Linked DNA regions of Lytechinus pictus. The protein of the gene in region 1 interacts with the protein of each later gene in a pairwise test. Links are inferred from orthologs where the notes say so. Each region holds a gene or a part of one and is shown in the gene's direction. Other genes may lie near its edges.

What was found. The genes of interacting proteins can lie anywhere in the genome.
Region 2: the proteins of serine/threonine-protein phosphatase 4 catalytic subunit (region 1) and immunoglobulin-binding protein 1-like interact in binary tests that used the Caenorhabditis elegans proteins (3 or more experiments, as listed by UniProt). The link is inferred for Lytechinus pictus from reciprocal best matches to the Caenorhabditis elegans genes pph-4.1 and ppfr-4.

What each region holds. Positions count from the first base shown.
Region 1 is NC_087246.1:5,138,221-5,141,980, forward strand, and holds the start of serine/threonine-protein phosphatase 4 catalytic subunit, read left to right. Parts: upstream 1-1,334; 5' UTR 1,335-1,682; intron 1,683-3,760. UniProt on the Caenorhabditis elegans protein: Protein phosphatase which plays an essential role in meiosis and in early embryonic mitosis.
Region 2 is NC_087247.1:81,320,289-81,324,048, reverse strand, and holds the start of immunoglobulin-binding protein 1-like, read left to right. Parts: upstream 1-1,587; 5' UTR 1,588-1,654; intron 1,655-3,760. UniProt on the Caenorhabditis elegans protein: Probable regulatory subunit of serine/threonine-protein phosphatase PP4 which may play a role in meiosis and embryonic mitosis.

The sequences.
Region 1 (3,760 bases):
TAGGCTCCTTGGATTTTTATTCAAATCAACTTTTTGTTGGAGTGGATTTGTCCGATAGGCCCCCGGATAGGCCTAATGATTAAGTTGTAGCATCGATCGCGGTCGGCACGTTAGGATCTTGACTTCCCGTTACCCCGGCCCGTGACATCAGCTAGAAACCAAGCCCGTATCGTACGGGTTCGATTGGACCCTAAACATTTCAAAAGCAAGAGAAACAGGGGAGGGAACTCAACTAGAAGGGATCATCGAACCTCTCTTTATTGAAACCCTGCATAGCTATATAAGGGCCTACATGGACCCGCGGGGCAGGAGGGGGGGGGGGGCGGCTGTACACATGCGTGACCAAATTATTAGCAAACATCCCCAAACGATTTTTTTTCTCTGTGTGCAAAATAACCACCTGAACAAGTTTAATTTTCGCGGGCTTTATTTACACATGTTGGCCCCTATAAAAGTTGTCGCCAGAATATGACCCCGGGGAAAAGTTTAAACGCGTTTTTTTTTGGTCACGCATGTGTAAAGCAATATACTTGACCCCGGGGGGGTGGGGGGGGGGGGGGCTGGAAACCTAACACAGCTGCCAAGTGCCAACTACGAGTAGTAGGCTATCTGGTGGAGGCCGGTTGCTCTAATTTTGCAGTGTGGTATCCCAAACAACATTGCATCATGCATCCCGGATTGTATCGCATAGAACGTTCGGGGCGCTTGATTTCATGCCAGCAGCTGAGCATCTGAAGTATGCAAGTCGGAATGCCATTCCCAAACAAATCCAATAGTCCCGTGTTTCATCATTGTCCGTCGATTACATATTAATGTCAATTCCAAGCCAAATTAAACACTTAGTAGGGCCATTTGATATCTCCAATGAATAAGTTATCTCTGTTTTTAAACTGAAAAATTTCCTCTTATAATTCCAAGCATGTTATCCCACTATGATTTTACATAATCGCGAACTCCGGCTCCGATGATATCCGGATGATTTACATTATGTACAACAAATTACCAGTAATATCTTACAAGTACAAGTAGTATTCCTTGACCTTTTATGATATTATAGCGCACGCGCGAAACAGTCGTACGTTCACGTAATTAGTCTATAGTATCAGTGTACTTGTAATATAAACATGATTTTATTCTACTCATGATGAATTATTCTATGAGTAAACACCACATATATATAAAATATCATGTCAAATAAATATTTTTATCAGAAATGTTAACATGATACTTATTTGTCTTCTAAAACTTGTCACAATAAAACTGATTGACAGGGGCCATGGAACGGTTTTCAAAGTAGGGGGGGGGGGGCTGAACCAAAAAGAGGGGGGCTGACCATGCAAAAAATCACAATCATATGGTAATTTTTACGTTTTTGTACACGGTTTTGGAAAAAAGTGGGGGGGGGGGGGCTGAAGCGGGGCTGAAGCCCCCCCGCTTCCGCGGCCCCTGATTAATTGGGTTTGTTTTCTAGAACTACACGTCATATTATACCGGCATTATACCAAAGATTAGGCGATTCGAACAAGTATATGCGAGCACATCCGACCGCTATCCTTACGTTTTTTACCAAGCCGAGCCATTTGGATACACTAGCGCAAGGCAGAAGCCGACACTATACAGTGGTGGATGGCACGCACGGAACCGCTGGCGAATAGGGACTCCGCACACCTTATTTTTGAAAGGTAATATTTATGTAATTAAGTTATTATTTTATATAAGATTCTGTACATGATGTTCTATGTATTTTGATGGTGAAGATGAGCCATGATTTCGACCGGTGAAATAACATACCTTGGTCTTACCGGTACTTAAATTTATGATGAGTCTCCGTACGTACCGTACCCTGTCGCGCCTCTGGCGCTGGCGAGGGGAACCGGCAGAGCCAGAGGCAAGCATTAAGCGCTAAGCAGTTGTCGCTTCCCGCTGCCGTTCGCACTGCACTCGCACTGGCACGGTACGGTACTGTATGGTTGGAACTACCCCTTATCGACCACCTAATTTTCTAAGCATTGTATCTGTGTAAATGTTTATCAGTTTTTAGTTTTACCTAGTTTTCGTGGCGCTGTTTTAATTTCGTCTCATTTGTGCACAAAATTGAGCAGATCATTGGCATTGCAGATTCTCATGTTTCGATCGGCGACTGCGATTCAATTTGCGTATTCTCAACTCTCGGAGTCTAGATCTAAATCGGCGAACAACGAATATACCCAGTTGTTGTGTGTCCGGACAGGTTGTGTGTCCGGACGATCAATTTTAGAAAGTCATTTGGAAAAATTTACAAGCGAAGTTTCGTAATTTTTTAGTACAAAATGTTAGGAAATATTATAAAGAACAAAATAGAAGATGAATACAAGTATTGAATTCATATTTTTAGTGTAATACAAAGACAAAAAAGAAGGCTTCAAAAATATAAAGTGTCCGGACACCCGACCCCCCATCCTACGACGATTTCACATTTGCTCATTTGCACCTACATGTACCTCAGAATTGATGTTCGTGCAGGCTCCACTTCACTACTGAGTACTGGGCAATTCCATAAAATATGTACATCCGACCCCCAATATATGGGACCTTCATTAAATTTTCTGTCTCTGATTTCTACTTCTTTTGACAGTCTGTAATTTTCTCAAACTTAGGAATAGGATCATGACTTGGTCAGTTTATAAAGTGACGTAAGACTTGAAAAAATTGGGGGTCGGATGTACAAATAGGTTGATCATTTTAAGGAATTGCCCTTCTGGTACACTACGCTCCACCTACGTACCAGGCCTACCCGAAGGCCGAACATCAAGGTGGTGAACTCGCTCTGATACTCCCGAGTGGCAAAGGTTGGAAAAAAATGCATATTTATTGTAAAAATTATACAACGAAAAGGCATCAAAAAAGAATAAAAGCTTAATTTCTTACTTTACACCCTAATTTCACTCCATATCCATCCTCCGGTTAGCCTAAAAATTTGTGATTTAGCGCCAACATGGAGTTCCTCACACATATAAATAATTTGCTGCCGATTTCAAAACATCGCATGTGCGATGGTCCGAGCTCAGACCCTCTTTTTCTCCTTTTCCCAGTTTTTTTTTTTTTTTTTGGGGGGGGCAGCTGATTGGGTGTGCCCCTCCCCCCCGTAGTTACGCCACTGTCTCCAATATTCAGAGACTTCTGTAAAGAATATTTTCATAAACATTTTCATCATCATTTCTCCTTTAACAAAAATAAATAAGAGATAAAGGATGAGGGAAGGAATAGAATTTTAAAGAACGGAAAAGACAAAAAAAATCATAGCAAATCAACGTATGTTCCATGATCGCGTTCCAGAAATAGTTGATATGGATTGGAAAGTTGAAACAGGATGTCAAACTGCTCTCAGCTGCTACTATACTGGTAAAATTTATATTCCGAATTTGAAATGTTTTTTTCCATTGTCAATATTTTCTGAAAATAAGTTTAATCTAGTCAATTACTGAAAATGAAATGATAAATTATCAGTTCCGTCTTGTTCTTAAGATCAAAGCCAAGTGATTTCACAACACTAAAATACACAGTACAGTCCCATGTAGGCCTACTTATTTTCATGTTGGAAATGTATTAGAAGTCATGTAATGTCAGTCTTTTAGGACCAAGAATGGACTGATATTTTATCTTTTTAGAGTAATCGATTGACCAGATTAAACCCCTGTTTAGAAAATATTGACTTTCTAAAACATTTCATATTACTTGGAATATGAATTTTTATAAGAAAAATTGAGTGGAGGTTGTTTGT
Region 2 (3,760 bases), on another chromosome or scaffold:
TAGCTATGTTTAAAGTATGAAAATTGTTGTCAAAATTGCAGTCAGATGTAAAAATTATTCTCGTCATCAAAGCACTATTATCTTGATCATGACCATTATTATTTACTGTCATTATCATCATATGATTACAACACATTACCAATACATAATGCTATTTTTCATAACTGATGTATTCTTTGTTTGAATTTCTTGATAATGGTGACAATTACAATTGATGACACTGCTAGTACACTTACTACTGCTGCTGCTACTTTTACTGGTGATTGGTAGTATTGACCATTAGTGTTATTAAATATATATAAAAAAAAAACAATTGAAACATTTATAATTACTTATTTAAAACAAATGAGAGTACAAAATACAAAATGCCTTGAAAAAGCCTTGAAAATGCCTTGAAATTTCAAGGCTCAAAATCCTCAAAGCCAAGGCTTTGAATAAGTAGCTAGGCATTAAGGCGCCTTAAGGCCAAGGCCGAGCATCAAGGCACTACAACACTGATTAGTACTAGGCATTAATTAGACAGGTCCAGATTTGAGGTAAAGTTAATGCGCTAGCCTAAGCTAGTCCTACCCTATCACATGTCTTGCCATTAATGGCAGCTAGTTTATTAAGTGTTTAAGAATTGGATATATATATATATATATAGATCTAAGCATATAAGACCTATGTAACTATGTAAGGGTACCGGTAATTTGACGATGCTAATTCATTCTGAGCAACGTGAATGCTTACGATCGGCACTGGTCGAGGCCAAGTCCACTGCGCATGCGTACTCTCAATCCGAAGACGCAAGTCATGAATATTCATATGTTGGTCCAGAACTCGGTGGGAAAAATAATTTCGCTGGCCGGCCCCGAGCTAGAGATGGCAGTGTTCAACATGGCCACCTCCTGCTGCAATGCCCCACAACTTTCAGAAATTTTTGAAGAATCGAGGAAAGTACAGAAGGAGTTAGAACATTCATCAGGACCATCAAACAGTCAAAGCTATCAGGTTGGGTTTCCCATGATTCTTTCAACTGTTGGTCGAATGTGAAAAACCAGTTAACGGTACCGGTAGGCTTAACGTTAGGCTTAACGTTAACGTTAGATCTTTTTATTTAGACTAATTAGTTTGCCCGAACGTTATCTTGCCAGTCCCATCCATTGTTTTTCTCGTAAAAATAGCCGTAACGTTAACTTAGTCATCTTATTCTTAGTTTTTCTGACTTTTTTTTTTTTGGGGGGGGGGGTACCGTATGGGCACTAGTAGTATTCAACTCTGCATAATTCAAAGATTTTGACATATTCCCCAAAATATTTAGAAATAGGTTAGGGAATTTATCTTAATTTCATATTTCCAGCAGTCTAGAATCCAGGCATGCCAGGCCCAGGGTAATCTGTTGTGTTGTTTGATTAATTCCCTGTGAGTGTTTGGTCTCATCTCAAATGGTCTAGTCCATAGACGGATGGGACAAGGGCAGATTGAGAGACAGGGCCATCTTTCATCGCTAGGTTGAATACTAGTGTAGTGCCGACGGATTGAATACTAGTGCCAAAAACCGTCGCCGTATAATTCAATCGCCCACGCACACATTCAACTGATTGAAGAAAAAAATAACGGAAAAAGAATAACCAGCATTTGCTCTTGGAAATAAGATGGGTCTGAAATTCAGGTAAATTCTATATTTCTATATATTTGAGGAAACTCTCCAAACGGGTTGAATACTAAATTACTACTAGTAGTGCCCTTACGAGTTACGGTAGGATGGGGGATCGGGTGTCCGGACACTTTATATTTTTGAAGCCTTCTTTTTTGTCTTTGGATTACACTAAAAATATGAATTCAATAGTTATAATCATCTTCGATTTTGTTCTCTCTAATATTTCCTAACATTTTGTATGATGGGGGGACCTAAAGCTACGCACTTTGTTTCCAAATGATAAAAACTATGCCAATTGTAATATTTGAACAATTATTTTTCACTAATTTGTAATAAATATTCTAAATATCCTTAACCAAGAAGAAAATATCACAAAACTCACTAATACGAAAATCCCGCCGTGTTTTCCGAACACCTCTTAATTTCGCCGCCCGATGTAGAAGGGGTCCTAAAGCTACGCACTCAATTTATCATGCAAAGAAATAGTATTTCCTGTGCCTCAATTTCTAAAATATGTCCGTATTATTATAGGAAAATATGAAATCAAAGTGAATATAACTCCGAAATTCCAAACATTTGCTGGTTTTCTCTGCATTCAAGGATTTATTGCAGCCTCTGTAGAAAAATTGAATAGGGATCGTTCGTCACAGCTTCACACACAGAGCTAGAGTGCGCATTTATTTTGCCATTGGAATTGCATGCGCGATGAGTGGTGCGTAGCTTTAGGACCCGCGTAGCTTTAGGACCCCCAACCATACTAAAAATTGATGAAACTTCGCTTGTAAATTTTTCCAAATTACTTTCTAAAATTGATCGTCCGGACACACAACCTGTCCGGACACACAACAACTGGGTATACAGTAGTTTGAGGCACATTGTTTAAAAATTCACCATCTACTTTTGTTTTGATAAGTTCAAGTTCAAGCTCTTCATAGGACGATCTCGGTTGGAACTTAGGACTCAGTCATAGGAGCAGATTTTTTAGTCAAAGAGTAATTTCTGACTGGAACAAACTGCCTACAGAAGTAGTGGAGGCAAAATCAGTGGAAATGATTAAACATCTGTTGGATAAATTCTGGTGGGGGGAAAGATTTAAAACCTCCATTTCTCAACGCACGTAAAGTTTCACAAGTTTAAACTGTTTAGACCATCAATTACCAAAGTAAAGATCGGAAAATCTACAGGAGACGTCCTTCATTTCCGTACCTGATGTGATGTGATGTGATGAAGGATTTTTGTTGTCATCCACACACAAAACAAATGGGCTTCTGACCTCAGTGAGACAAAATTTTGGGTGGAAAAAATTACAATTTTGTTGGTGTTTCTTTTGTTCTTTTGCGAAGCAAGTCTCTAATATGGGATATTGTCTCCCCTATTGGAGAGAGTCTCCCATATTGGCCGTGCGCCTCTACTGGTTGGCTCCAGTCACCAAATACAGAGACCGAACTAAGTTCTACTTCTAGCTCGATCCACACACGTACATGACGTATTGCGAGGTTGTACCTCGCACCATGAACCGCGTTTGGCAGTGGATTTCTAACTAGTGGGTTGCGCGTGCTGGGATCTCACTTCTGGAGTCCACAACACACGACTTCAATGGCTTGATTTTTCTGTACGCGGCAGCATGAAATGAACCCTGGGGGGAGCTCGATCTGCACTCACACATGCATGCGAGGTCACTCACACGTATGGTAGGGGGCACTCACACATGTTGCGAGGTTATTATCAGTATACTACTAACCTCGCACTGCGAACCGCGTTTGGCAGTGGATTTCTAACTAGTGAGAGTAGTGGATCGCACGTGCTGCGGATCCCACTTCTGGTGTCCACAACACATGACTTCTATGGCTTGATTTTTCTGTGCACGGCGGCATGTAATAAACCCTGGCCTTGGCTTGGGCACTCATTCAATGAACAAGATTATGATATAATCTCAATTCAATTCAATTCAATTTGCATTTATTTCATTCTCGATAAAAACAATTATAAAGCAAGGTATGAGAAACAATATATTTACAAGCAAGAGTAAAAATGAAAATGAAATGGGGAACTGCATAAATAAAGCCAAGTGGCCTTGTGTAAGCGCAGTTCCCAAAACATTAATAACATGACATGGTA